Linked DNA regions of Stegostoma tigrinum. The protein of the gene in region 1 interacts with the protein of each later gene in a pairwise test. Links are inferred from orthologs where the notes say so. Each region holds a gene or a part of one and is shown in the gene's direction. Other genes may lie near its edges.

What was found.
Region 2: the proteins of meox2a (region 1) and transcription elongation factor A protein 1-like interact in binary tests that used the Homo sapiens proteins (3 or more experiments, as listed by UniProt). The two-hybrid records come from large-scale screens. The link is inferred for Stegostoma tigrinum from reciprocal best matches to the Homo sapiens genes MEOX2 and TCEA2.
Region 3: the proteins of meox2a (region 1) and chrd interact in binary tests that used the Homo sapiens proteins (3 or more experiments, as listed by UniProt). The two-hybrid records come from large-scale screens. The link is inferred for Stegostoma tigrinum from reciprocal best matches to the Homo sapiens genes MEOX2 and CHRD.
Region 4: the proteins of meox2a (region 1) and fkbp6 interact in binary tests that used the Homo sapiens proteins (3 or more experiments, as listed by UniProt). The two-hybrid records come from large-scale screens. The link is inferred for Stegostoma tigrinum from reciprocal best matches to the Homo sapiens genes MEOX2 and FKBP6.

The regions. Positions count from the first base shown.
Region 1 is NC_081355.1:69,823,268-69,831,500, reverse strand, and holds the start of meox2a (homeobox protein MOX-2), read left to right. Parts: upstream 1-4,926; 5' UTR 4,927-5,153; coding exon 5,154-5,640; intron 5,641-8,233. UniProt on the Homo sapiens protein: Mesodermal transcription factor that plays a key role in somitogenesis and somitogenesis and limb muscle differentiation. Required during limb development for normal appendicular muscle formation and for the normal regulation of myogenic genes.
Region 2 is NC_081372.1:27,433,745-27,441,152, forward strand, and holds the start of transcription elongation factor A protein 1-like, read left to right. Parts: upstream 1-4,310; 5' UTR 4,311-4,394; coding exon 4,395-4,403; intron 4,404-4,500; coding exon 4,501-4,617; intron 4,618-5,643; coding exon 5,644-5,706; intron 5,707-7,408. UniProt on the Homo sapiens protein: Necessary for efficient RNA polymerase II transcription elongation past template-encoded arresting sites.
Region 3 is NC_081367.1:43,961,610-43,969,315, forward strand, and holds the start of chrd (chordin), read left to right. Parts: upstream 1-4,499; coding exon 4,500-4,641; intron 4,642-4,969; coding exon 4,970-5,073; intron 5,074-6,341; coding exon 6,342-6,490; intron 6,491-6,576; coding exon 6,577-6,707; intron 6,708-6,995; coding exon 6,996-7,107; intron 7,108-7,706. UniProt on the Homo sapiens protein: Dorsalizing factor. Key developmental protein that dorsalizes early vertebrate embryonic tissues by binding to ventralizing TGF-beta family bone morphogenetic proteins (BMPs) and sequestering them in latent complexes.
Region 4 is NC_081380.1:13,248,595-13,256,288, forward strand, and holds the start of fkbp6 (inactive peptidyl-prolyl cis-trans isomerase FKBP6), read left to right. Parts: upstream 1-4,305; 5' UTR 4,306-4,347; intron 4,348-4,566; 5' UTR 4,567-4,664; coding exon 4,665-4,700; intron 4,701-7,142; coding exon 7,143-7,260; intron 7,261-7,694. UniProt on the Homo sapiens protein: Has an essential role in spermatogenesis. It is required to repress transposable elements and prevent their mobilization, which is essential for the germline integrity.

The DNA.
Region 1 (8,233 bases):
CTGAGTCAAAATCTAGCCCCATCAGCATTGTGCAAATACCATTTGGACTGCGATGGGTCAAAAAGGCAACGAGCCACCACTTTCTCAAGGGCAATTATTATAACCAGCAACCCTCCCAATCCCAATAATAAATGTGAAAAGGAAAACATAAACAGCCAGCTTACTGTTAATGATGATGCTCCTGAGTGTCAAGTGGAGACGAGATTCTCACTTGTTAGAAATGGTCATTCTGAGGCATTTAGGCAGAGTGGATCTCACATTTGTTACAAAGATGCACCTTTTCCTGAGGACTTTGAAAGGATTGTGTGCAGTGGTTCATTTTAAAAGGTTGAGCCACCCTCAAATCCCGCTTTGGAGTTCCATTTGATTGTGGTCTCAAATTCACCTTCCCCTTTACCCCCAAAACCTCTGAACCCCTTGTTCATCAAAACTCAACCTTCAACAGATGGCATTCCAGAATAAACATGGAGGCCCAGTCCTCCTGCAGGACATCAAGAAGCCAAAGCAGGATGAGTGGGGCCTTTAACTCATTTTCACTGCTTTTTGAATAAAACAATTCCACAAACTAATGAGAGAAAGAAATAAAATCTCTCTTGAAAGGGAGTCGTCTCATTTTTAACAAAAGAATCAGAAGTTGCTGGAAAAACTCAGCAGGTCTGACAGCATGTGTGGAGAGAAATCGGAGTTAATGTTTCGGGTCCAGTGAATCTTCAGAAGTTATTTCTAAACGGTGAGATTATTTCAGCGTCTCGCTGCATGCGATAAAATCAGTCTGAAGTATTGTGTAGGAAAGGAAGGCCTGGAACATGTCACAACTTTTTGTTTTAGCAATCATAACAACACGTATTTCACAGAGAAAATGTTGGACACACTGAATAGGTGGTTGGCATTTTGAAGAGAATATGTTTGTTATTGTAAAATAAAACAAAAATAAAACAGATGTGTTAGTGTTTCGGGTGTACGCCCTTCATCAAAACGCAGTGTAACTCCTGGAGTTACAGATGCTGCAGATCTGCAGAATGTTGCAATCAACAGGCAACTTCAATTAATCTGAACCAAGTCTACACTGATGTCCGCGTTCAGATTTACGCCTCCTGTTTACGGTGATCTGTTGAAAATGAGAAGTTTCAATCCTTTATCCACCCCTCCAAATGACCTCCTGTCGCCGAATCCCCTGAAACTATCTGAACTCTAATAATGCGGAGATCTGGAGGCTCAGTAACTGGGGCCCGGTCGGTTTCCCCGTCAGGAGTTCTAAGTTAAAGGGCCTTTCGGAACACCCGGGGCCCGGCATTTTTCTAAGTATCAGACCGATGAAGATTAAGTGAAATCTCTTGAAAGCTTGGTGAGGAGATTGTAAGGACATCAGTCTAGCGGCATCTGGTTCCCGTTACTTGAGTTGTGCCATCTTCTGAAATCTGAATCGTTGTGTTGAACGCGCAGTGTTTTCTGTCAGATCCCCGATCCTGAAACCGGGTGCCAGCAAACTGAATATACAAATCCCTTCAGCCTCTTGTTCCGATGAAGAGTCAGATTGGACTCCAGATGTTAATATTTGTTTCTCTTTGCCCAGGTATCGCCAGATCCGCTGAGTTTGTCTGGCATTTGCTATTTGCATGTCGGATCTCCAGCATCAACAATGCTGTGCTTTTGTAACTGTACCAATTATTTGGCTTTCGCCTTCCCACCCCACATTTTTATATCTTAGATAAATAAGTAGCTGTCAAGAATTTTGCCTCGAATTATTTCAAGTTTTATTTTTGTTTGCATTCTCAAAAGCATGGTGCCAAGTATCTCGATCATGAACTGAAGGGAAAGAATTCCATGTTTGGAGTTCGGGGGGGAAAATGTTTGCAGGTCGCACGCTGTGCCAGAAATTAAAGCGAGTTTTGCAAAATGTAGCCGCTATCACTTTATTTCCCAAATGGAGAGGCAGGGACAAAGTCCATTTTAGACAAGTTGATTCGCTTTCAAAACAAAAACAAACAGAACGATCCGCAGGTGCTGTGAATCAGAAACAGGTCTAGGGGAGGAAAGGTCACCGGACCCGAAACGTTAACTCTGATTTCTCCTCACAGATGCTGCCAGACCTGCTGAGCTTTTCCAGCAATTTCTGTTTCGGTCCCTTTTAAAATACACAGTGAGCATGTCATTAAGAGAGGACCCAATGAGTACGTTATTCGGGTAGAGTTCACGTTTCAGCTCACTTCTGCCCAGTTGATAAAAAAAATCTCTTCACCATGCTTCTAGACTGAGTATTTTCACCATTTATTTTGTTTTCTTTCATACTTTCAACTTCGGCGGTTTTTCATTTCTGTTGTCGTGTTTTACATTTTGTTAAATGCGGGCCAACCACTCCAGCGTGTTATACGACCAGGGTAACATCTATCACAGCAAACTCATACTGAAGGGCAAATTTGGCACTGTACAGCAGCTTTTGACTCGTTCCACAATCCCTCGTCCGAGGTTAAAAAAACTCTGATTTTACCTGAAAAGCGCAGTATCACAACATTCAGGACGGAAAAATTCGCTCCTAGACAGTGAATGACTCCAAAATCCACTGCACATCAACATTATCGCAGAAATCAGTAACCCCCTTATTAAAATAAAAGTTTTTATGAAGCTATCACCAAAGTGACATTCAGCTGAGTTCAGCTCTTGCGGTGAGGATCTTGCTCCGGATGGGAACATGTGAGGAACAGAGTCCCTGATTCAGCACGTTTGATGTTATTTCACTCAAAACACTATGACATGTACTTGTCTCAACAAAGAACAGCTCTCGAACACTGAGGGAGCCTTTCAGCTGGAGGGATTTGAAGAAACTTGATTTCATTTATTTTTCAATAAAATTCTCAAATTACCAGTAGCGCCAAACGGGGTTCAGGAACAGTTTAGAATTTGCCAGCGATCTCGTTACTTATTGATTCCTAACTGCGGAAAAGAGGCTGTTCGGCCCTTCCACTGTGTGAGATTGTTCTGAAATAGTGCCGCAATTACCTGTAAGGAGATGGAGACTGTTTAAAAGTTGGTTGTGTTGAAGATGATATTGATCCCAGTCTTTTTCACTATTGTATAGAGGTGCCGTTTTCATTGTCGATGGACACACTCTCAGAGGGGAGGCACTTCTCTGGAATACACTATTTTGCTGTCCCGAGTTTCCGAAATTAATTGAGCCCCGACTGATTTGCGTGAAACATTGCGCAATGAGATGCCTGGGTGACAATTCCTGGTCACATCTGTGGAACGGAGACAGAAATCCGCCGAAACTTCGCTGGTGCCTCGCCGTACAACCTGAACCGCTCCGGCAGGAAGCTCAACTACCACCTAATCAGCTCCAGTCGTTGAAGATGTTCGGAGTCTCTAAGAAAATGTGTACAAATCGATGTCTGCGAAAAGCAACACAGGGCTTCCTTTCTAAGAAACGAGCGATAGCACAAATCACGTTACATTCGTGCCAACAATAAACTTTCTGACATTCGTCTCAAACGAGTTTCTTTTCAATTTCTGCTTTTGTTTCGGGAAAATCAAATTGTTTACAGAAATGATTAGTTGCTAGCATTCAGATTTGTTTTGCAATTTTACCAATAACAAATATCTTTATTTTCGCCCAATGGTTTGTCAATGAAGGAAAACATCGTTTCACATCGACAACTTTTAACCACAGGATTGGTAACACTCGGACAAGCGATGTGATTCCAGGAAAACACAGCTCCAACTTAATTCTGTCCTTCGATGGGAATATCAAGGCAGAAGCGATTTTTCACGCGTTTTCATCCACTGGGAGCCTTCTGTTATATAATTCCCGGCCATCCCCCTTCCCCTTCTGGTTTAAACATTTGAATTGACTACGGACGCTGACAAACTCCTTAATATTAATTCTGGCGACGAATTTTCGAAGAATTATTTTGAGGGACCTTTTTTCTGGTTGGGAGGTGGTGGGGATTTGCATGACTAATTAGATTTCACATTAGGTTTCAAAAGAATTTTACTCTGTTTAAATCCATTTTGTCTATTTCTTAGATGATCTGTTTTTTAAAGGATTTCTCTCCGTTTTGACTCTGTTTCAGATTTAACAGAAAAGGAGCACGGGAAAGGGCAGCTAATCCCGGGAATTAAATGCGATTATTGAACAGGATTTTTTTTCTATTAACAAATGAAAACATTCACTTGCAAATCAAAACGTCCATCATGAGGACGGAGTAACTGATAGACAGGAAGATCGATTGGGGAAGGGAAGTGTCCGGCGTATTTTGTTTCACAAGTTTCTTTTTAACCCTAACCCAAACACCTAAACGTGACTTCATCGGTTAGGAATTTATTCTGTCATCTGAAGATGTGCGGTTGTGTTTGCTTTGAGGACTCTGATGAGAGGATCAATCGTTCCCTTTCGCTCTCATTGTTCGCTGCTTTGCGGGACGCCTTGCTTTTGGGCTGAGTTGTACAGACGGCTCTAGTGGCACTGACTGACAGACACAGGTTCACTACCCCCTAAGTTGCGGCACGTTAGAGACATCTGACACCCCAGAGCTCCTAGAGGTTTTTTTTGTGGGGGGGTGGGAGGAATAGTTTGCTCCCACATCCACCTCACCCCCCCCCCCCCCAAACACACCTACCCACTTCCATTTCTTCAGCATCACCCGTCATCTGCAAACACACAATTCTCACATCGACAATAGCAGGTCACAGCTATACGCAATAAGGAATAAAGCCTGCCCTTAAACTGGTACAAAACCTTGTTTCTCTTTCTCTGCGCCTGCGAATTTCCGGTCATTAATTGCCATGATTTATAGGGCTGATGTTTTTTTGGAGGTAGCTTCGCATGTGGCTGGGACCTTGCCTTAGATCCAGCCCCCCTCTCACATTACAAACTATTTATATATCTTCCACGATTTCCCCCTGAAAGCAGCTCCCTGGGACAACGTGCGATTGGCTCCACTTGTCACCCGAAAATTAGCTCTGCTTGTGTGTGTCAGTGTGTGTGTGTGTGTGTGTGTTTGTGTGTGTGCCTGTTTATTCAAAGGGCTCCCGGCTGTTAAACAGCGATTGATCCAGATCTCTTTTAAAGAACCCTGCTTTCCTGGAAGCTGTTTACTTTGAAATCGAAGGTGCTTTGGATATAATTCCAGCCGCTTGGAATCTGAAACCCCGCTCCCATGGATCATACAATATTTAGCTGCCTGCGCGGCTCACATGCTCCAGCGCAGAGCCTGCACCACTTCTCTCAGTCTCCACTAGCTCTCCATGGAAGATCAGACCATGTGGCTTTTCCAGACCTGTCTTCTTCTTCTTGTATCATAACGGGATTTCCTAATGAAGAAAGCATGTTTACAGCTCAGCGTCATCATCATCACCTACATCATCACCACCGAGGTCATCCCCAGCAGCAACCCCAGGCACCGGGCGCTGGCCAGGCAACATGGCACATCCCTCAGATCTCCTCACCCCCTCCCCTGGCGCGGAACACACTCTGTCTCCAGTCGGAATCCGGGGGCCCGGAACTGGGCTCCAGCCTGGCGGACAGCAGTCCCAGCTTGAACCCCAATAACCCGCTGTCCTGTGTGTCGGGGGATTACGGGAGGCCGGCGGTCACTCCAGTGGAGACAGAGAAAAGGAATTCCAAAAGGAAAAGTGACGGCTCAGGTAAGCGACCCGGCTTCAGTCGTTTCTGAGCAGCGGACGCAACCAACTATTTCGCGCATCAACTTTGTGCAGATTCAAGCTGTACTCAAATTGTTCAAAATCACTCCAAATTGACTGGCGTAAACTGATGTAACAAACCTGGCGTTGGTCTGATTCATTCGTTCAGTTAACGCTCACCTTCAAAAACAGACATCTATATTTCCCCATAGCCCTTAACTGATTGGTTCTGGGCTGCTCTTGCTTTTTTTTTGTTTTGCAACCTCCAAACACTTTTGTTAAAAGAAGGCAGAGTTTTAACCCGATTCTTGGTCACATCCCATATGAAACCGGGAGCCGTCAAAATTCAGTCACGGGCCAATACTGAATGGCAAATCATTAAGGGTACTTTAAATGGTAAGGAATTGCCATCAGCGTTCCATTGCAATGCCGCTGTCTGAAATTATGGAATAAATGCTGGACAAGAAAACATCGACATCGAACGCAATCATATTTCACATATTTATCTTTTAAATCCAATTACAATGAAGCACCGAATACGTGATCGCCTGTAAATTCATATCTCTCTCCAATAGTCTCCATCTAAAACAAAACAGTTCTGTGAAATTCTTTCCTAACACATTCCACTGATTAAACGGCTTTGATTTTTATAGTTTCCATATAGTTCGGAATATTTTCCCCTTTCCATCTCTCTTCTTGTGTCTCGACATCGAGTTTACTGACTCGCGTTGCCCTCATTTTGCATCCCGCAGACTTTAAATTGTGTATTTGGTAGGCTTTGCTGTCGTTAGCTGCTCTAAGAAATTAAAACAATAAATTGTTCAAGCAATGGGTAAGTGTAAGTAATAGAATATGTCTCGTGCTATTCAAAAAAAGTTAGAAACCAGAACTGCATTGCAGTAGAGGCTCGATTCCTCGACAAAAGCGCATTGTATACATTGCATCCGACTTGAAGCCAATAAATAGTTTACGTCAAGATCTATGTTAAAAAGCCTTTCGATAGTTTAGTGGAAAGCTCAAACATTCTGCAGCTAAAATGGAGAGTCCCTTTTTAAAAATTATTTTCGTTTTAAATTCAAAGAGATTGAACCTAACGCTGTATGACATTTCTACTTGACGAAAGCATCGTCTTCCCCCGAAGATTTATGCTAAAATATACTTTGCGACAATAAATCTTTTGTCGGTTAATGGGCTGCATTTCCTCTGATTCACACATACATCACCAAACCTTACGAAAATAAAGCATAGGCAGGAAATAGAAAAGTCCTTTTCAGTTTCACTACAAAGTCTGAAAGTTTAAACTGCAAAGAACCAGACTCCGTATTACTGTTTTTACACCTGCTGCCAGCACCATTTCAGTCCTTCGATTATTTATGTTCATTTCGTGGTGTAAACAAAGATGCAAGTCCTTACTGAGTCACACAGAAAACGTTTTACTCTCAGAGATCGCTTCTAGTCAGGGCGCACGCCCTGGTGAACCGGTTTCGGGAGATAGCTCAGAACTCGCCGTACAAAATAACATTGTAACCTTTATGAAGTGGGAACTGTAAGTAGTGAATTAATGTTCCGTGGAATAGACTAAAGTACAAAAGGCAAGTCCCGTTTTAAGAAATCCAGATATGTGATTTATGTAGAAATTTCTCAGCTAAAGTATCTTCTCCTCACTCTACCAGAAAACATATTAAAAAAATACAGACCAACCTTTTTAAAGATGTTTCTTTCTAATAGCACTTTCATAATAAAGCCCTAGTGATTATAAAACACAAAGTAAGTATAATGCTATATAAGACGATTTGAAATCTTATTTTTTATATCAGGAACTGTTTTCAAAGGTTGCAAAAATCCATTTTCTGTGTTACTTGTAGAAACTTAAATCAAATAGTTAACTGTCATATTGAACGGTGAACAATAAAATTAAACATGAATTTCAACCCTTTATGATATAAATTATATACTTATGCAGAGAGAGAATTTTTTAGAGTATCTGCAAAATGTTATGAAAAAAATAACCTCAATTGCCTCAAATGAGGATGATAGAATTGTTCTCTATTAATATATGTGCAAACTAGTTATACTCAGTCTGCATTATGAGAAAGGAAATCATATTTAACCAGTTCATTGGAATTCTTTGAGCTGTGACTAAAGCGGTACCAGTATTGAACATAGATTTCGAGAAGGTTATTGATAAGGTGGCACATCAATAATTGCAAAAAAAAAGTTAATGCTGCAGAGGGTAACATATTGGCTTGCACAGCAGATTGACTAATCAACACGAAACAGAGAAAAGGCATAAAAAATTCATTTTCCATTTGGTAAGATGCAATGAGTGATGTGTCACAGGGTTCTATATGGGGGCCTCAACCTTTTATAGTTTAATAAATGACTCGGATGAAGGGCCCAAAGCATGCTTCCTACTTTCCTGATGACACACAAGTAGAAAGTAAATTGTGAAGTGAACATAAAGAGGCGATAAAGGAATACAGATAGATTAAGTGATGAGAAAAGATTTTGCAAATTGAGTATAACATATGAAATTATCTATTTTGACAGGAAGAATCTAAAAAGCTATATATGTAAATGTTGAGCTCTGGAAACC
Region 2 (7,408 bases), on another chromosome or scaffold:
TGGGATTAGTTTAGTTTGGGGAAATTTGGTCACAATGATGAGTTGGGCTGAAGACTCTGTTTCCATGCTGTATGACTCTGATTCTGAGGGTCCCCCTAGATGGAGGGTGTAGAGCCAGGGATCATAAGACATAGGAGTGGAAGTAAGGCCATTCAGCCCATCGAGTCCACTCTGCCATTTAAATCATGGCTGATGGGTATTTCAACACCACTTCCCTGCACTCTCCCCGTAGCCCTTGATTCCTTTTGAGATCAAGAATTTGTCAATCTCTGCCTTGAAGGCATCCAACGTCCCGGCCTCCACTGCACTGTTTTCAGAATGCTCTGGAAACTATTTAGGACAAAGATGAGGAAAACATTATTCACTCAGAAGATGGTGATTCTTTGGATTTCTTTACCCAGAGGGTTTTCGAAGCTCAGGTAATCAATATATTCAATCTAGAGACTGGTAGATTTCTAGATACAATTGGTATCCAGGGACATGGGATAGTCCAGGAAAATGTAGATGATCAGCCACCAACTAGAATGATGGAGCCAATTTTACAGGCTGAATGGTCCACTCCTGCTTCCATGTTTTGTTTAGACAAAGGCTGCAATGAGGTCCAGAAACAAGCGGCCTTTGCTGAACCAAAACTGAACATGTGAGAAAGTTACCGCTCCACAAGCACTGCTGGGACTATTATTGATAAATTACCAGACTAGATGTAGTTCCATTTTTTGTGGAGAAGACACAACTGGGGTAATTTTCAACATTACCAAGCAGATGTCAGTGTTGGAGATGTACTAGAACAACTTGGCTAGTACTCGTCTTTACAATGTCTGCCAAAATGTTGTCAGGACCCATAACTTCTGAGTATCTAGTATTTTAAGCTACTTCTTGACATTATGTGGACCAAATCCGCTGTCTGTAGACTAGCATCCATGATGCGGTGACCTCAGAAGATCACGTTGGATTACCTGATCAACATATCAGCTGAGAACTATCGCATATACTATTTTTACTGACGTGTTGAGGTTCCCCATCATTAACAATGGGGAATTTTTTTGAAGCCTCTTCCTGCAGTAAGTTACTTAATTATTTGTTTCCATTCATGTCTGAGTGTAGCAGGATAGCAAAGACTTGACCTGATTCATTGGTTGCAGGATCACTTAGCACTGTCTATTGCATTGTGCTACAATGTTTGGAACACATGTGGTCCTATGTTTTAGCTTCACCAGGTTGGTACCATTATCTTATTTTGCCTGCTGTTGCACCTGGTATGCTGTTCTGCACCCCTCATTGAATGAACGAGAGTCGACCCTCTGGTTTGATGTTAACGGTAGAGGAAATGCTGAGTTATGAGGTTTCAGATTGTGATTAAATATAACTCTGCTGCTGTCTCAAAGATGTTCCATTTTGGCTGCTAGATCTGTTTTGAATCCATCTCATTAAGCAGCACAGCAGCACTGCAAAAATAATCAGTGACAAGATAACAAAAGTGTGGAGCTGGATGAACACAGCAGGCCAAGCAGCATCTCAGGAGCATAAAAGCTGACGTTTCGGGCCTAGACCCTTCATCAGAGAGGGGGATGGGTAGAGGGAACTGGAATAAATAGGGAGAGAGGGGGAGGCGGACCGAAGATGGAGAGAAAACAAGATAGGTAGAGAGGAGAGTACAGGTGAGGAGGTAGGAAGGGGATAGGTCAGTCCAGGGAAGATGGACAGGTCAAGGAGGTGGGATGAGGTGGTGGGTAGGAAATGGAGGTGCGGCTGAGGTGGGAGGAAGGGATGGGTGAGAGGAAGAACAGGTTAGGGAAGCAACAAACAACTGCACCTCCCATTCCTCAGATGACATGTCCATCATGGGCCTCCTGCAGTGCCACAATGCCACTGCATCCCAAAATCAGCCCAGCCTGTCTCTGCTTCCCTAACCTGTTCTTCCTCTCACCCATCCCTTCCTCCCACCTCAGCCGCACCTCCATTTCCTACCCACCACCTTATCCCGCCTCCTTGACCTGTCCATCTTCCCTGGACTGACCTATCCCCTCCCTACCTCCTCACCTATACTCTCCTCTCTACCTATCTTGTTTTCTCTCCATCTTCGGTCCGCCTCTCCCTCTCTCCCTATTTATTCCAGTTCCGTCTCCCCATCCCCCTGTCTGATGAAGGGTCTAGGCCTGAAATGTCAGCTTTTGTGCTCCTGAGATGCTGCTTGGCCTGCTGTGTTCATCCAGCTCCACACTTTTGTTATCTTGGATTCTCCAGCATCTGCAGTTCCCGATATCACAGTGACAAGATAGATCTTTGACTTCACAAGGACTACATGATCATTCCTACAATACTGTAATGGTCAGATGCATCTGCAATATGTAGATTAGTGAGGGAAAAGCTCAAGAAGGTATTTTTTTCCATCTTTTGGGATACCTCACCATTATCCTTCAAAAGGAGATGAGGCATTTTAAAAGAATCTTAGTTCAATCTTGCTTAGAATATGGTCTTCTTTTGGCCTTCTCAAATTATTCACAGAACTCAGCTAGGCACCATACTTAGAAAGCTTGTCAAGCTCTTGGAAATAGTGAAAGAGATTCATTAGAGTGATACTACAGATGAAGGATTTTCACTATGTGGAGAGCTGGAGAAGCTAATATTTTTTCGTAGAACTGAGAAGGATCTAATTTGATTTAAAATCATGAGCATTTTTGGTAAAGTGAAGGAGAAATAGTTTCCAGTTGGTAATCAGGGGAGACAAACTTAACGAATGGCAAAACAACCAGAGATAATGAGGAAACATTCCAACATGCAGGAAGTTGTCGTGATTTGGATACATTGGATGAAGGAGTAGAGGCAGCAGATTAAAGAGTGACTGTCAAAAGAGAATTGAATAAGTACTTTAAAAGGGGAAATAGGCAAATGGGGAAAGATCAGGACAATGGTATGGCTATTGAATTAAACCCAGAGTAAACAGAAGTACTGAGCTGTACCATTCCAAAAACTGGGGTGGAGGTAGCTGTGGTCCAAGAAAGAAGTTTGTCATTAAACTTTGGTATGTGCTAATTTCACCATATAGTGGAAAATAAATTTAAAAACAGAAATTCATAGTGCAAATTTCATTGATACTTTTAGCAAGCATGCTAGGTGTTGAAAGAAAGAGTAAACCAATGTAAATGGTACATTTTATAAAACCTGAAGAAATGAAACTCCAGTGAGACAATTAAAATTAACTAATAGCAAAGTAGTTAATTGGTCATTATCAATCACATAATTAGAAGTTACTTGGTCAAAACTTTCACGTATGAATTTAATTTGTGAATGGAAGCTAAATGTTTCACTACCACATAAGTTGTTCTCATTCCTTTTGATTTCAAGTTTTAAAAATTTATGATAACAATAAAAATCTTTTAGCCCGTAAGGACAACGTGAGAAAGGGTCCAGAACGCAGTGCCTGGGCATGTGGTGGAAACAGGATTAACTGAGACTTCTAGAGGGCATTAGATAATTGTTTGGACAGAAATGCTCTAAGTATATACGGTAAAAAGGAACAGATTAGCACCAGATAATATGAGCTGAATCGTCTTTCACTGTAACCATTGTGACTTCCTTTATTTCCATATCAGATTCAGCTTTACTGTAAACCCAGTTCAGATATGCATTAATTTCTTTCTATCTAAATTAAGAAGTTAGACAGGAGTTGCAGTGAAGATATTACATCCCAATCAATCCGCCGCTAAAACAATGTCACTGGATTTTTTTTCAGTATGTCTTTTGAATGGACTGTTTCAGGCCATTTTTTAAAAGGAAGCAAACCCGTACAGAACAGAATTTAATCAATAAAAACGGAAAGAACTGCGGATACTGGAAAATCAGGAACAAAAGCAAAGTTGCTGGAGAAGCTCAGGTCTGGCAGCATCTGTGATGGAAAAAAAGCGTTAGTTAGCTCTGTTTTCTCCCTTGACAGAATTTAATGAATCAATTTCTAAGGTTTATGACTGATTTACTTCAATGCTGACATGAGACTTTCTTCGTTAAAAGTTACGTTTCGAATCTTCTCCACCCACTCTACTCAAAAAGGAATGAAAGCTTTAAAGATGCCAGGTCTTGCTTGGACGACGATTCACGGTAGCGGTAGATGTAACCTAAATTCCCTTTTTCCACAACAGGGGAGGCGCGAAGAAGTTTCTCGAAAAGGAACCCAAACCCAACGAACAGATTGCAACTTCAAGAGAGGGCGCCACGAAGATGATTTACCTAGAAACGCACGCCACCGAGGTCGCCCAGAACATTCCCCGGGCAACGCGATGCATATTGGGAATTGTAGTCCTCTAGCCCAGCGGTGATAGTTGGGAACTAGCCTTTGGTGGCAGAGGCGGAACTACAAAGCCCAGGGACACTTGCGTCCGCGGTGCCCCGGACTGTGAATGGCTGAGGTAAGCGCCATATACAAGAGGAGAAGCTGAGCGGCGGAAGGGAGCTTGGCGTTTTTTGGTACTGATGATTGCGGCCATTGTCTCTCTTTCACCTTAGCTTTGCGAAATCAGAGACAGAGGAAGAAAAAAGAATCGCAGGAAAAGAATGGGCAAGTTGGAGGAAATCGTACGCATCGCGAAGAAGATGGATAAGATGGTGTCTAAGAAGAACACGGTGGGTGTCGATGCTGGCCGTCCGCCCGGCCGGCTGGGGTTGGTGATGCGGCGCAGTGCCCAGCCCGGCTGCTTGGCTGTGGGTTCCCTGCCTCCGGAACCGTCAGGATGCGGACAAGCCAAGTGCAGTGAATGGTTAAGCTGCTCACAAGCGTGAAGGGCATCCTCGGGCAGTAAACGTTAACTTTTATGGGGAAATGCTGAGGCTTCTGGTGCCACACTCCTGCCTGGTGTTTATAATGTAAATAAATGTTGGATCGGAGCGCGTCCTCTGATCCCTTGTGCTCATCTGCTTTTAAATTCATATTGCTTGTAGTTTTGTTTGGGGGAGGTGGAGTGTAGTACACAAGGTTATTTGAAGGAGTTCCTTTTTTTAGAAATAATTTTTTCCAGTAGTGGATATTTGATTGGAAGTTATTGTTTTCCTTTGTAGGTGCTGATATGGTGATGGGTATTTTTCAGAGAACGTTGATTCAATTTTTATTTTTAACTGGTGTATTCTGAAATAAAAGGTGTGAAGTTAAATATTTCAGTAATGCTCACAAGCGATGAGGATCTCTGGCCTTGCACTTGATGCATTTACCCTATATCCTTGGCTGAAGTTAACTTTTTCTTGAGTTGATAATAGAGGTTTGAAGGTGTGGAGGGGAGGGATATGAGTGCAGTCAATATTGTTTGAATTGCAACTTTGGTAATTACATTTGGCATATGTATATTTTATATATCCTCTGTTAGCTGAAGCGGTGTCATGATTTTTAATCCTTAGGATTAATTAGGCTTTGATTCGGGAGTCACTAGGGTGCAGACATCTAAATGCAGAGAAAGTTTAGTCTGCTCCAAACGTGGGACAACCTTTAGGTATTCTCTCTACTAGTGCAGACTGAACATCATTTGTTTCTAAAATTCTTCTGTGTTGACCAACATATTGGTTATAGTATTGTAAATTTACATGCACATGTCTTGGTCCTCAGTTATTCAGCTTACACTGCAATAACTTATTGTTGTGCTTTTTCTGTTAATTCTGCAGAGTGGTGCTATCGATTTATTGAAAGAACTTAAAAGCATTCCCATGACTTTGGATCTGTTGCAGGTAAATGCATTTCGCATTTATCTAAATTAAACTCCATTTACCACGTCCTGTTGTACTTTTGAAGCAGCCTTCTTCGTTGTCCACGACACCGCCAATTTTAATGGTGAAAAGTGTATAATGTTGCCTCACAAGGTGCCATCTTGGGTACAAGTACCTAGGTACAGAATCTTAAGAACATGGTAGATAGAAAGAAAGAACCAAGTTTAGAGTTAAACATTGGAGTAATTATAGCACAGTGACACCTGCTTAGTTTTAAGTAGAAAATAAAGAAATAAAGCTGAAAATTCAAGCATTATAGTCTTTGACTGCTTAGCTATGGTGAGTCTGCACTTTAAGGAGTCACCTTGACCGGAAGTCCACACTGAGGCCATGCTGGACCAAGAGGCTGCCACTTACTGCCGAAAGACCAGCGTGCTGAGAAATCGCTCCTCCAGGCTGTGAGACTGCCCCGCTACGTCAAGTCTGCACTGAGTCAGAGGCTAGAAAGCTGTGGCCAGGCAAAGAAAGAAGAGGGAAGTGGGGGGCAATATGAGAGGGGGAAAGAAAAAGGGAAACGTTTGGAGTGGACAAGTTCCGCTGCCATCTTGGATGTTTAGATTGCTCAGATTTTTGTGTCATCTGCACATGTCCTGACCAGATCTCCCTATTTGCATCTAATTAACTTACATAAAAGATATAAAGAGCAGTGGACCCAGCATCGATCCATGCTAAAGTATGTTTGACTGAGGCCTCCTGTTTCTTTTTTGTGTCCCTGAACATTGAAACCTTATGGTGTTAAAAAAAGAAGGTGCTAGATTTTGCTGGATACAATATCATGGAACTGGCAACTCCCATTTCTTGCTCGGATGTCATTGTTCCCAGGCTTGCAAGAAGCCCAACCAAACATACTCTTGGCCTCACTATTTACTAATGTAACAGAGATTCTGTCGGAGCACTGGAATAGAAATGAATTACTAGGCATATACTAACTTAAACTCAGATTTTTTGGCCTGTATGGCATAAGACCTTTCCATGTTAGAATGTTGGGTAAAATTACAAATTTTTTTTAAAAGTTGAATTTTCCATGTCATTGAAATACCTCAAATGACCCCCACTCTGAATAACTTTTGTAGAACATTGGCACACAATACCTTTGAACCACAAAGTTTTCTGAAAGGATAGAAAATATTCTCCCTGAAGAAACTAATTTACAATTCAGCTGTTATATAAATGCTAATGCAATTTAGACATTATTGGTTGGCCAGCAAATTTTTGGATCAGTTTTCCTGGGGCATTTGTCATAACAGTAAGCAACAACATTTTGCTGCAGACTGATGTATAGAGCTAATTTTCATGTGATGGTCATTTGAGGCATAGTGTCATTAGGGTCTCCACCTCTTTGAAGGAACATCATTTGGCTCTGTTAAAATAATGATACTCAATCCTGTGGACAAGAACAGAAACTTGTAACTTGCAAACAGACATGCTGAAGTGATTACGATTTGTGGTTTCCTTTTCTTGTATGTGAAATTTGCCAACATCTGTGCAACAAAGCCAAATTACTCATATGTAAAATGCAAGATATCAACGTAACTGAAAAATGGGCCCAATCACAACAACTTCCTGCCTTATGATGAGGCTGTTGAATGGCTCTCTGTAAGTGGAGGAAAATATGAAGTTTACTTGCCACAAAAAGTTGTGATAGGAGTCTTATCTTTGCTTT
Region 3 (7,706 bases), on another chromosome or scaffold:
ATCGATTGGGACTCGTTCCTGTCAGTCTTTTCGAAGTTAGCAGATACCCTCTTGTAACAAACTCACAGAATGCGGAAAAAATAGAAAACGACTACAGAATCCGGTTAATTGTATCGAAATACACCCAGTGGCATGTTAAATCATATTTGTAATAAAATAACTAATTTAAGGAAATACGTTATGCGTTGTTGCAAATATTCTGTTCCGATCCTTAAACAAAATAATTTTTTTCGCAATTGAGATGTAGATTCATCATTTTTGTTTGTACTGATTATTGCAGTTGGATTATCGTTGTGAAAATAACCTGGAGCAGGTCTGGGAAGTGAGTACTGACTTAGCCGGAGCCGCAGGCAGGGTTAGCTCAAGTGTGAATGTGGTTCATCGGCGAATCACTCATTGCTGCCAGTTTAATTTTCGAGCTCTCATTTTTAAAAACATCAAATTTTAAAAGTTAGTGGAAAATACAAATCTCATGTCGACTTACTGAAATGCTTACCAATTGGTCTTAATTCCAGAAAGCACCGAAGCACTGCTTGTGAGGATGTATTTACCTGCAGATCTTTATAATATGCAGGTATGTTTGAATGTATAAATATGTAGAGAGAAAATAAACGGAACTAAACATGTTGTCCCTAAGGAATGGAAATAAAGGTATTCAAAAGGTAACCAATCCCACGAAAAAACATTCCTGTTACGTCTTCGATCTTTGTAACAAATAACAAAGTAACTGTTTGCAGATCAGCGATGATACAATATCAGCACCTTAATTGTGAAATCGTTTCTAATAGTTTTTGTGTAATGTTTTGTGTCTGACAGGATGCCACTGTACATTATACAGATGCTACCGCCCTTTTATTGTATGAGCAGGGACAGCACCCGTCTTAGGAGCCTTTACTGAATTTTTTAAAAATGTTAATTCTTCGTTTCAAACACCTCCTTGTGTTGCCCTGGAGCAATTTAGAAATGCAGTTAGATACTCGCTCTGATGCACACTTGATCAATAATATTGAAAAAGTTGAAAGCTTTTTCAGGAACTGCAAGTTGAAAGTGGCAACAACTTATTGACAGTGAAGTGGTAGCGCCTAACTGATTTGCTGTCTTTTCTTGACCTTCTAATTCGAAGAGGTTTGAGGCCTTTTTGTAAAGCAGTGTGCGAGTTGAATTGCACTCAGTGGTGAGCCGGTATTATTTATTATCAGCTCCTTACAAACAGCTATGGAGCTTCAGAACTGCATTTCAAAGAACGCTGGCTGAGTTTGCAGTTCCTTGAGCTAAAGAAACATTTCTTTCCAAATTCAACAGAAAAAAAAGATCAAGCCAGGTTCTGTTGTTGTCAGGAATTCCTGCCACTGCCCTGTGAACAAATATTTGCTTCTCCGCTCTGTGTATTTGTGTGGCGCTCTGTTCACCACATCTAGGGCTCACAGCTGGTCTCCAACATCACTGAACCTCTTCAAACCATCTCTCACCAGCACAGCTCGGCTCGTACCTTTTTACATTTAACAGCCGGGCAGAGCGGTCTAACTAACCTGAAAATAAAACAAAGAACTGGAGGTCTGGCACAAAACAGAAATTGCTACAGAAACAGAACTGGTGGAGAGTCACTGGATTCGAAAGGTCTACTCTGCTTTTCTCTCCACAGATGCAGTTAGAACTGCTGAGTTTCTCCAGCACATACTGTTTTTGTAACTAAACAGACTGTTTGAGAAGAACTTCCACAGGGACCAAGTCTACCAAACGCCAGAAGTGACACCGAATTAAAATCAGTGCAAACTTTAAAGTGAACCGTCCAATTTTGAGCCTAATCCCACTGACTGCGCCTGCAAATTTACTCAGCGCAACACGGTCGCTTCACAAGCCCGCGGTCAATGTTAGATTTCTGACTGTGCGTTTGTCTTGTGGTCCTTCTTAACCTTCAGTTTCGCTGATGTACATGAACAGTTTTAATTATTTTTAAAATCAATATAAATCTGTTTTAGAAAAGCAGAATCGGACGGGGTTCCCTGTTTAATATGTTGGTATTGGGAAGATCTACTTTTAGGATCATCCCAACTAAATGATTGGTGTTTGCTATTCTTCGATCCCAGAAGCTGAATGGTATCCGGAATTCTCCCCGAGAAACGGTGTCTCTGCTCGGTTCCGCCGTCCCGCTGTTCTACAGGATATAGTAAGAACTGCTAATGCTGGAGTCAGAAATAACAGTATGGAGCTCGAGGAACACAGAGGCCAGGCAGCATCAGAGGATAGAAAAATTGATCCAAAACATCAACTTTCCGGCTCCTCTGATGCTACCTGGCCTGCTGTGTTCCTCGAGCTCCACACTGTGTTATCTCTTCTGCAGGAGACGTGATCGTTCTCTGGGATCGTCCTCAGTTCCCTCTGCCCGGATCCCTTTCTGATTTCTGCATTGGTATGGCAGCAAAGCCCGTAACTGCAACCAGCGAGGATCAGCGTTGCCATTTCCTGCCTGGCGGGTGAAGTGGTACTCCCTTGACACGGCCCACTTGATTTTAGATTATTCTGAATGCTGCACCTATCAAATTACATGTATTTCAAAATATGATACTGAGGATGCCGGAAATTTGAAACAAACAGAAAATGCTGGAGAACTATATCCTTTTCCACCATAAGACATTACAATTAAGCTTATGGGATAACTCACAAACTGCCCTTACAAACTGTGCTTCTTTCGTTGGTGAAGTACAGTGATATAGGTTGAGGCAACGCAGCATTTAAAGATCGCACACAAATTTTCCAGAATGTGCAGGGTTCATGTGAGACAAGGCAGACCAATCTGTGTAGGCCGCAACATCTTCCATTGAAGAACTGTCTGCCGAAATACAGTTTATGAGTTTACGTTCAATTTCAGTATTGTACATGAAAATGCCATGGGATCTCACAGATTACGGGGGAGGGGGAGAGGTAATTAGTCGAGTTTCTGTTGGGTTCTGATGTAGAATTTAGCTCGGAGAGTGCTCTGAGATTGCTGCATGTCAGACTGGTCTAAACTTTCTTTCTAGATCTCCCAATTCCACTACTTCAGAGTGTGAGCATTAGTGAGCTGAGGAGAGATGTGAACAATATTACAATTCCACGCAGACGTATTGAAGTGAATAAATTGTACTAAATTTAGGCCACTTATGCAATGAGAATTCTGGAAGTGATATTTTTAAAAATCGTTGGGAAAGAGTAATTAAATATAAACTTATAGCCCAGTAGTTGGCAGTCCTAGAATGATTATGCAGTCTATCATTGGGTTAGTTATTTGATTGGCGGAGGGACTCATCTCCCCGAAATGGCCCGTAGAATTTCTTCGCGATATTACCCAATACATTTCGCATTAGAACCAACTTCATCGGCTGCCTACTCGTTTAAATAAATCAAACAGATGTGTTTCTTTGAGACCGGATGATGGACCATTCCTGTAGCCAGAAATCTTAGTAAGATATGTCTGGAATATTGGATTCGGGAAGAATCTGAGCTCATCATTATTTGGGATAGTCTCAGATTCACTTGTGCTTCAGGAAATATTCTCCTTGGCAATATTTATTCCTGTTTTATCCCAATCTAGATGATGCTACAACATTATATGCATTACATGCTTACAACACATTGTGCAGGCGAAACGAAATTGATTAAAATTTCGCGAACAAAGGCGGCCGCTTGTATAATGCATGAATCTGAGATTTCTCTCAAATTGGTGGGAGTGAAATCTCCCACAGCGTCGGCATCACACGATTCACTTAAATTCAAGGCAAATAAAGAGGACCGAGGAAACGAGATCCTGAACTCCGATCCATGTGTAATACACGTTGGATAAACTGTAAATACAATGGACCAGTCCCAGAAATGGAGCTGACCATTTCGATTGGAAATGTATACGGACAGGCCATCAGGGTACTCCGATACCTAGACAGTTTACAGGTACATTGCAAAAGCTACAAGGAAAGGCGTTGGCGCTCTAGACAGTAACACAATCAAGCAGAGTGTACTTTGCAGCTTTCTGGACTTGATTTTACAGACAATTTCCCCCCGTCTTGTTCTGCTTTGGACAAATGCAAATACCGCCCCGGGCTTTATAAAAGTGTATTTCACTGTTCAATTAACTCAATTTCGTAGTGGCAGTTCTCTGTTTTAAAATACACAACTAGATTCTCGGCTCCGAGTCGAGCCACGTCTGGTTTTCATTGTTTTAACACTTTCCCATTGAGTTTGAAGAGGATCCCACGCTGTGCCTGCTAATCATCTTTCTATGAGTCGATTTGAATATTCCACTGATTAAGGCTTTATTGACTTGGATGCATATTCAGGGCTTTGTTTGGAAGTATATAAAAACAAGGAGTTCGAGCACAGGGAACTATTGGAGTGCTTGCATTTCTTGTAGCCACAACAAACCGACACAGCTTTCAAAAGCTCCTCAAGGCCTCTCGGCTGACTGTGGTTAGTTGGAGCAAACCGTTGCCCAGTGAGAAAGTGAATCGTTGGACTCGATTGACACAATGAAAACAGAAGAGCTGGTTTCTGTGCTGCACCTTGTTTTTATTTTGAAATTGATAGATGAAGCAACCAGCTTGCGACTGAAGGTGCCTTCTCTACCCATTCAGGCAGAAGATGACCCCGTCCTTGGGAAAGAAGCTGCAGGTAACTCCGGTCGCCAAGACTGGTTTGTCATCTTACCATGTTTCAGGACTCTGCGGGAATGGGCTGCAACAATAACAGACTGATTGCAGTTTGTTCTCCAATTTACCCTGTCTCTCTCTCTCTCTCTTCAGAAGTGGCTCTTTTGTTGTAGAAATGTAACTCTGGGAAGTTTTTTAATCGAAAAATGCTCAAGTGTTTCTCTCCTTAGCAAATCGAATTCGAACTCCTAACTGTTGAGAAGAGGAGTGAGGATAATATTGGATTTGGGGGTGGGCACGTCGGCCAGAGAAAGGCCGAGCCCTCACATGTTCGCCTTATATCTCTGTAGGCTGCTCTTTCGGTGACAAGCTGTACGCGCTCCGGGATACCTGGCACCCTGACTTGGGACAACCCTTTGGAATCATGCACTGCGTCGTTTGCCATTGCGAGCCGGTATGTTTCTAATGGCCATCGGATGGTTTTGTTTTATTTGGGACAAAGAACTCAATGCCACTCATTTTATACATTATTTACCTGTGTGTTGTGGGGGGCGGGGGAGGATCAAATGCATCCCTTTGCTTCCTGGGTTTCTATTGTGCCAACCGAGAATTCAGTTAACTTATTTTACTGTCTCCAAATGTAATCTCCCTAGTCCATTCAGTATTGTCAGTAGATCAAATGTAATAATTCTTTGCTATATTCGCACCATCATATCTCCCTGGAACGCACACAATCTGTGGCATCTTCTGTACATCCCTTAACCAATAAGATCTACTTTACTGCTGTAGGGTCACCTTACAATATTCTTTACAACATAGCAGGTTTCCTAGTCTAGAATCTCCGTTATGGTCTTCATATAATACGATTTTCTTCTCCTTTATGATATGTGAGCTCTTTTCCCATAGCCTTGGCGGTATTCATTCGTTGTGGCCTAGAGTCTGCTTCACAGAATTCGTGGTATGGGGTATAGTCAGAAGTCAATGCCTGGCTTGCGTTTTCTGTGAATCAATAGAAGGAAATGTGCAGCGGCTCTGAACTATTCGACAAGTTCCCCTGTAGGGTTTTTTTTCCAGTAACCAGGGAGCTGAGCCACACACTGCATGCCCCATGAGGCCACGAATTAACAAATCCTAATTTTCCACTACATTTAACATAAACCAATTCTACTCGGCAACCTTTCTGACCACCGTCTGCAAATTACCTACAATTATCTGAGGTATTACTTCCGCATTAACAAGAGATTGGGAGCTCTAAGGAGACCAGTACACATTTCAGATTTTAGTAAAATGCCCACCTCCTCATTTTTAATCGTGTAGGTACAGTCTGATTGGATTCCAACCCCCCCACCCCGCCACACCCCCTCCCCAACCACCACCGTCCCTCCTCCCGGATACGTGTGTATTTGAATAACAAACGTGTTAACTATATTGCTATTAATCAGGATTGAGTTGTTTATTGGGTAAATCTTGTTATCAGGAATTATGGAACCGGACAGCAAATAAATCGATGCAAGGATATCCTTTCGGTAAATAAGGCGGTTTTCTCCTTTTGAATATGAGTGGCATCATCACTTCGTATGTGAGATCTCCCTAGACCATTCGGTGTTGTCAGTAGATCCAATATTGGGAGGCGTTAGATTCCATTGTTTGCAATCGGGTTATTTTTTGGCTATTTCAAACAACAAAAATATGATTTGTGTTTCAAATCTTTACCTTTTAAAGCAAATAAATCGAAGAGGCAAAGTTAATGGCAAAGTAAACTGCAGAAATATTAAACACGACTGTCCCGAGCTGCCCTGTCGTGCCCCTGTTTTATTGCCCGGACACTGCTGCAGAACCTGCCTGAAAGGTGAGCTTTTTAACCCTGATCAGTTGACAAGATCTTACCTTACAGAGCGTTTCCAGACAGCGCCAACAACCCTCCCTTTCTATCGGCAGACAACGCCAGCAGCTTCAGGAAGAAACCAGAGGAGATATTCGATGGATTTGAACATGTTCCTCTTGAAAAAGAGGACAATCTGCAAAAAAGCCCCAATGATCGTTCCTACATCACCTCTGAGGATATTTCAATGGACGACAGTAGAACAGGTAAAATACTAAACACCCAAACTAAAGCAGAAAACTGCAGATGCTGGAGATCTGGAAGATAAACTGTAGGGGAAGCTCAGCAGGTCTGGCAGCACCTATGGAGAGTTCATACCGGACTGGAAACACTCATTCTGTTTCTCCCCTCTGCTGCCAGACCTGCTGAGTTTCTCCAGCACTTTCGGTTTTTGTGATAATAGTAAATACTCTTTGTTTGGACAATAACCCAAGTGTGTAGTAATAGTGTGATGCTTGTGCTGGAGAATTCATTCAGCTTGTTGCCCTCTGTAGATTTTGTAGCCTTGCTCACAACATCTGGACGATCGCCAGCATCCAAAGGAGTGGCTAAGGCTCGACTTACTCTGGTCAGATCGAACCTCATCTTCGCCATTCATTATGAAAGGTATTTTCAATAGGGGAGAGGGTGTGAGGGAGGGGATATTATGGAAAGGGAGAGGAAGGAGGTCATACTGTTCTCCAGCAGCTCTAACAGCTTCTCACAACATTTGTGGATGCCCACCCTGTCAATATAAACATAAAAACGGGCTGTACTTGGGCCTATCTAGGTACTTTATGTACCCTTTTTAAAAAGTTGGTCGGATATCTTTTGAATGTTAGCAATGAGTCGTTGCTCCCCTTCCTCCACCCTGTAGTATTAAACTGAGCTGAGTAATGGGGATATACTTAAAGCCTCATGTACCAAGCTCCTTTGATTGTATCCAGAGGTGACCTGGTTGACACTCTGTAGATAGCCCAATACAGTTTCCAGTGTCAGTTAAAATAACTGAAGGAACACATAGAATCTGAGAGTCAGCATATATTCTTTCACTTCACACAACCCTCTGAAAATATGGAAAGACAACCACAACCCATCTCCCTTGCTCAATAACAGATTCTGCTTTTGCCAACAACTCTAACCTCTCACTGGCCAAATGCAGCTGAATTGTACCTGCTCATTGTTTTTCCTTTAAAATTATCTTGACAATTATCACTTTGTCCATC
Region 4 (7,694 bases), on another chromosome or scaffold:
CTTCCTTGGAGAAAAAGAATGTATCTACCTTACTGACATATTTGGCTGCGTTATCTTCCCCCCCCTTTTTAGTTTTTAAATCTACTGTTATCATTTCTGAGCACACTGTCTAACCCCGTAATGTCCTACTCTTTTCTTTCCTCTGGAGTTGAGAACCAAAAGAATAAGAGTAGTTTATACAATCCCTTGGGGTTGCCCTGATTCAATTGGACTGTCTCAGATCTGCCCCTTGGCTCCATTTTCCCATCTTTGACCCACTCATCCTTTGATACCTTTAACACAAATCTATATATCTTGGCTTTGAGAATGCTCAGTCAAAGTTTAGTGACTGAGCCTGTGTTGCTTTGCTAAATAGTTACGCGCAACTGTGGTACTGAACCACACTGACTGTAGTTTGATCCCTCGCTTGTGCTGCATCAGCACTGGAACTGAACTCTGGGCTCTCGATTCAGAAAGGCAAATTGCTCCTGCTGATATTTCATCAACTGCCACAGAAAGTTAGATGTGGACTTTTGAGGCCACCATCAAACCCAGTTGTGAAAATCCTTTCTCTGCGCTCTTTCTAACATGTTTTCCCCAGCTGTCACCTGTTCCAATACCCATTGTTTGGTGTGGCTCACAGAGAATGGATGTTTAACTGGGAGACTAGGGAGAGACAGCTGCATGCATTGGGAGAACGGTGACAGTTACAGTAGAAGAAGATATTAAATGCATTTACATGGTACTGTATCTGCATGTGTATGTATTGATCAAATGTCTGGATGAGAATTGATTACACTGCAACCTCCTTGACCTGATATATCTCCTCTGTCTCACCTTTTGGAGACAGGGTATTAATGCATGCAGAAACTTTGGTTCGGTGACTTGGAGTCATTAATGGGTGATCAATGAGACAGGCCTCTGGGCCACAAGGTCTCCCAGGATTGCTAGCAACAAATGGCACTGAATAACTAAGCTGTTCTGAAGTGAAAATGTGTTTGAGTGGAAATTGATTGCATTGCATATAAATGGAACAAAAACAAAATCATCGCTATAACGTTGATCTATTTATAGTTTGGTTGTTGGTATTATCGAGTGTTGCCACCAGCCCCCTGATATCTGCAATGTCACGCTGACACTATGTGCTAAGAGTCATGTAACACTAGTTAGTTTGTAAGTTGTTTGCTTGTGGGTAGGGTGGTAAAAGACAGGCACTGTGGTTGACACAAACCTAGGGTCATTCTCTTTGTAGACATTACGGAAACACTGAATATGACAAGACAGGAAAAACCTGTGCACTGGCTCTTTACATAGTCCCACTGTCTGACTCAGGCCCCATCTCCTGTTTCCTTTATGTGCCTCCAAGTATTCATCTGACTCCCTATTTACATCTACATTTGACTTTGCTCAGCAGTTTTCCCCGTGAACGATCAGGACAGAGATCCGCTTTCATGATTAGACCACCTCAGGAAATGTTTAGAAGTAAAGACCAGTCCGTTATGTTGGTGGTGTGCTGTGCAGCGATACTGCATGGTATGGAAACACCCTCAGAGGTCCTTAAGTTCAGAATTGGACAGAAATGCCTGTCAGTATTCATTGACCTGTAGACCTCTTCTGTCAGGTACTGAGACATTTCTAATATGGTCATTACAAGTCCTAGAGGTATACAGCATGGAAATAGACTCTTCGGTCCAACTCGTCCATGCTGGCCAGATGTCCCAATCTGACCTCGTTCCATTTGCCAGTATTTGGCCCGTATCCCTCTGAATCCTTCTATTCATGTACCCATCCAGATGCTTTTCAAATGCTGTAACTGCACCAACCTCCACCACCTCTTCTGGCAGCTCATTCCATATGTGCACTGCCCTCTGCATTAAAATGTTGGCCCCTCAAGTCCTTTTTAAATATTTCCTCTCTCGCCTAAAACCGATGCCCTGTAGTTTTGGACACACCACCCCCAACCCCAGGGAAAAGGCCTTGTCTATTTAGCCTAACCATACCCCTCATGATTTTATAAACTTCTATAAGGTCACCCCTCAGTGTCCAACGCTCCAATGAAAATAGCCCCAGCCTATCCAGCCTCTCCCTGTAGCTCAAACCCTCCAACCCTGGCAACGTCCTCGTAAATCTTTTCAGAACCCTTTTAAGCTTCACAACATCCTTCCTATAGCTTGGAGACCAGAATTGAATGCAGTATTCCCAAAGTGGAATTTGTGGAGTTATCTATATTTTTGTAGGACTTTTGCTGCTTCAGGTGTGAAGCACGTGGGAATCCTGCCCCAATACCCGCTCGTTCTCTGGGTTGAGATAAAACACTCCATCCCACTCGACGTATTTTAAGTGCAGATGGTGGGAAGTGCTGCCGCAGTAGTGATGCTGATTAAATAACCACATTCCTTGCCCAAACAAAAACCGAAATTACCAGAGAAACGCAGCCAGTCTGGCAGCATCTGTGGAGTGAAAATAGATTCAATGTTTTGAGTACAGTGTCCCTCCTTCAGAACTTCCTGTTGTCCTTTTTCACTGCTGTGCTCTTAAAACTGACTTAGTGCTGTACCCCCAGTACAGTTTTGGTCAGAATTCCTCTCCCCACCTTGCTCAGAAGAATATTGCGGTGAATACAGAAGGGAAGTGGGTTTGGGCTTGGGATTCTTTAAATGGTGGGCTCGCTAGTTGCTAGCCGAAGGCTGTTGCAGTACACATCTGTGTTGGAGACCTTTTACATCTGCTGCGATATTCAATCTCCTCACAGGAGAGGAGACAGTGCTGCATTATGACTAGCCAGTGTCCCAGGGGAGGCACAGAAACACAATTGAAAGAGCATCCGATGAATAGGCAGAGGGCTCCAATACAGCTTTGGGGCTGTATTATGAGGAGTGCTGTGCTTTAAGATGGAGACTTCAATGTAACAATTATAATATTGCCTGGTAGAAATAGATTGTGTCCAGAAAGCCATAAATGTGTTACCTTTGGGACAAACTCGAGTCATCTCTTAAAAGCTCACTGTATCCCCTTGGGAAGAATTTTGGCCAATAACCCCTCATATTCATTTACTTTCCAATGAAAGTTTAATGTACAAAGAGCTATAAGATGAAGAACACATCCAGTGTCATTACCTGGCAGGTCAGGAAGTGCTTTTGTAATTTAGCTTTTAGATGAAGATTACCGCTACAAAAATGCCCTAAAGTAAAACATTAAAAGGTTGCCTTCAGTAAGAAATGAAACGCCAAGCAACAGTAATGTAAGAATCTACATCAACAGACCTTGGGCCAGATTAGATTTTGATATTAAAATGCGTTTACGTGCAGTGTATTAGCATCTGCACTGTTTTACACAAGGATATCTTGGAGCGAGACTGAGATCAGGTCGATAAATGGAAAGCTATTGCCAGCAGAAATTACATCGGAGATTAAGAATCAAAGTAACACTACCAAAATGGCAGGTTTTGTTGAACTGAGGTTTTGCTTTTTGAGACACCAGTTTGATTTGAAAAACATGTAGTTTGGTTTTATTGTGTTATACACAGCAGTTACCCATACCCTGAGAATTTTCTACATTGAATTTTGTAAATTTCCCTTTTAATAAAACATTTCACAGGCTGGTGAGTCCTGCTTCATGACACCGTGTACCTGGGAGCCAGACTGCAGCAAGGGTGGTAATGTGCTGCATTGTCATTTTTGATTTAGTTTAGGTGCCATGTATTAATTAAATTCCCACTTTACAGCACTGACTTAAAGCACTTCATTGCCAGAGTACTTTTGATACAGCCATGTGATTCTGTCAGGTGCTATACAGATGCAAATCTTGATAAGAAAAAGAGTAATTGTGAAATACCAATGGCTTATTGTCAAGATTTCCCAAACAAGGAGATCCAAGGTTGTTTGGGTCATAAAAGGGCAGTTTATTCCTGCTGGTGGGACCACATGTAAATTACAGCGTGCTAAGTGACAGATTAAACACGGAGGTCTTCTGGTTGAAGAAAGGAATTGTCACAGCTGATTCTGTACATTGATTAGTGTTAGAAATAGAACAGAATCAGGAGAAACTCCAATGGCAGTTGGGTTGTGAAGCAGATTACCAGGAGGACTGTGACGGGTACAGGGCTTTGAAGTAGCTGGCTATTTTTCAGGAGAGTGAGCGATTTGAGGACAATGGCAACTCACTGACCAATCCCCACCACTCCCTGCACTCGCCTGTCACCATCCCACCTACCTTCCCCAGCCCCACCCCTCCTCTCTATTTATTTCAGAATCCCCTTCCCCCTCCCCCATTTCTGAAGAAAGGTCCTGACACGAAACGTCAGCTTTCCTGCTCCTCTGATGCCGCCTGGTCTGCTGTGTTCCTGCAGCTCCACACTGTGTTATCTCTGTAAGTGTGACATGCTTGTTGAATTTGAAGGCTTTGTTCTCCATTTGTAAAACTTGTACCATCTCCATTTAATCCCTTGTAGTTCTCATCATACTGCCATGACATACTTCAGGCATGTTATTGCTATTGTTCCTAGAGATTAAGCAAAAGTGAAACTAGTTTCATAAAAGTTCACCCAAATACAAGGTCAGTGGTGACTAATGTTCATTTTCTCTCTAGACTTTGATCTCCCTGGAAACTTCATACCAAGTGCTCTCCATTTAGGAGTTTGACAGCAACCAGAGATTCATCTTCGTTGTTGTGTCTGTATTAACAGAATGAATGGACCTCCTCCGAGCCCTCATGGCCATCTGGTAATTATTAACATTGTCATTTTGATTTTTTTCATTGTTAGGCACGCAGCTACTTACCTTCTAAACCTAGATAACAAAGTGTGGAGCTGGATGAACACAGCAGGTCAAGCAGCATCTCAGGAGCACAAAAGCTGACGTTTTGGGCCTAGACCCTTCATCAGAGCTCTGATGAAGGGTCTAGGCCTGCTGTGTTCATCCAGCTCCACACTTTGTTATCTTGGATTCTCCAGCATCTGCAGTTCCCATTATCACTGATACCTTCTAAACCTATCTGGCTTCTGGTCTCTGGCCAGAGTGCAATGCAGTCACAGCATAACTTGGATCTGCTGGTATTGTGCTGCTGTAAGCAGGGACCATGTCCTGCCAGTGTTTGTGAAATGATGGCATGCCCCTTTTTGAGTGGAGCTTGGCACTATGTAATCATTCTGTTCTTTGTCTAGCACTTGAGGGTTTTGAATAGGGTATTGTACCATGTAACATGATGGCTAGCCATTGCCAGCATCTGCTCAGCCAGCCCAGTCCCTCTACAGCACCATTATTGGCTTCAATACCTCGGGGCTAAAGAAAGATAGAATTGCTATAGGCTTCTGATCCTCGATTTTCAGTTGGACCCCTATTAAACAGGGGTAGGGATTTTGAGAGAGTACTGCTTGGACTGAACTGGGCTGTGATACCTCCGTTGTTGAACAGCAAGCCCACACTTGTATATGAAGCATGGTTGCTGCGGTAACATGCATAGAGTCGCCAGAGTGATTCAACACCTGGAAAATAATTGGGAGGTAAGGGAATAACTTTATTATGCAAGTTGTATTTTCCATTTAACTTGGGAGCAGAAAATTACACCAGAGAGAGTGTACAGATGATTCCTCAGAATGTGCGTGGCATGGAGTATTTCAGCTGTGAAGAGAGATGGATTGATTTCTTGACGTGTACCGGAGTACAGTGAAAAGTTTTGTTTGCAAGCAGTACAGGCAGATCATAGTAAGCAAGGATGTGCAGATCAAAGTTTTAAAAAAAAAATCTAAGAGGCATACAGGTAACAGCGCTGTACGTCAGGCAAGATCAACATTATTTGAGGCTGGAGCCCATTCAACAGTGTGATAATGGTCAGGAGGAAGCTGTTCCTAAACCTGCTGGTGCGTGTGTACCAGCTTCTGTATCTTCCTGATGGAACAGGTTGTAGGAGGTCATTACCAGGGTGTGTTGGGTCTTTGATAACCCCCTTTCTGTGGCAGTGAGCCGTGTAAATAGAGTCCATGGATGGAGGGTTGGTTTCCATGATGGACTAGGCTGTGCGCACACCTCCTGTAGTTTCTTACAGGGCCTGGGTACAGCTGTTGCTGTACCAGGCTGTGATGCACCCAGACTGTACACTTTCAGTGGTGCATCCGTTGAAGTTGGTGAGGTACCTTAAGGGCATTCCAAATTTCCTGAGGAAGAAGAGGCTTTATTGTGCCGCCTTGGCTGTCGCATCTACATATGAAGCCCAGGACAGGTTGTCGGTCATCGTCACTCTGAGGAACTTGACGCTCACCACCCGCTCAACCTCAGCACTGCACATGGGGACGTGTTCTCCTCCTGACTTTCTGAAGTCAATGATCAGCTCTTTAGTTTTAGCCAATGTTGAGACAGAGATTGTTCTCTTTGCACCACATCACCAAGCCCTCTATCTCCCTTCTGTATTTTGACTCATCGTTGTTAGATATCTGTCCCACTACGGTGATATCATCAACGAACCTGTAGATAGCATTTGTTTGGAATTTAGCAACACAGTCGTAGGTGTACAGGGAGTACAGTAGGGGGCTGTGGACATATCCTGGGGGGCTCCAGTGTTGAGTGTCATTGTGGAGGGGGTGCAGGTACCTATCCTCACTGGGGTCTGTGGGTCAGGAAGCTGGAGATCCAGTTGCAGAGGGCAGAGCTGAGGCCAAGGTCACGGAGTTTTGGGATCAGTCTGGATGGGATAAAGGTGTTGGAGACCGAGCTGTAGTCAATGAGCAGGAGTCTGATGTAGGTGGTGTTGTTGCCCAACGAGACTGCGGTTGTTTTCCTTAAAGCAGCAAAGGCTGAGTGGGAGCATATGATAGAGGGGTCAGTAACCAGAGGGTGCACTTTTAAATGCAAGGAGCAAGAGGTTTTGAGGGGATCGGAGGCAGAGTTTATACCCAGACAATGGTAGGTATTCGGACCTCGGTCTGAAACGGTGTTGGAGGCAGGAACCCTCAAGACATTTTAAGCTCTTGAAATGACTCAGTATGCAAGGCTACAGAGCAAGTGCTGGTAAAGTCGATTGGACCAACATGGGTGTGATGGCCTGCAGGACTGTTCTCCATTCTGTAAAAATTCTGTGATTCTATGACTAATGTCAAATGTAAGGCTCAATGTGAATATTGCAGGTGTGCAACACTTCTTTCAACGATATTTAATGTCTTTTGATTTCAGAGCCCCTTCTACTACATGTCTCAGAGAATGCAGGATGTGACCGGTGATGGTGGTGTTCTGAAGGAGATTCTCCGACCTGGCTCGGGCAGTGTTATCCCATCGACTGCCTCCGTGTCTGGTAGGGCTGGTCACGGAGCTACCCTGCGCCTTTCGTGTAGCAACATGGTAACCCCTCCCCACACTGATGGACCTCCAGTGGTGAGGAGTTTCTCTCATGGAAACGAGGGAAAAATCTGAAAGACCCACAGTCCCCACTTTTATTTTTATGAAGCAATTTTTTTTTAATCCACAAATTCCTGTTTCAGTTTTCAGTTCCGAGGGGGAGAGCTGAGCTCGGTGATATTGATGGAGTTGGAGATAGAGGGGTACTCGCACCGAAAAAGCTGGTTTCATTGGTGAGGAAAGGCATAGGGAGCCCCAAATAGCGGCAGAGATTCACAGGAGGGCTCTTGATCATTTTAAGCAGAAACGGAATGGTTGAACTTTACCTTTTGCTGCAGAAATTTCCTGTTCCTTGTGCACAGTCTTGTCGCCTATTGCGTTCCTTTCTTA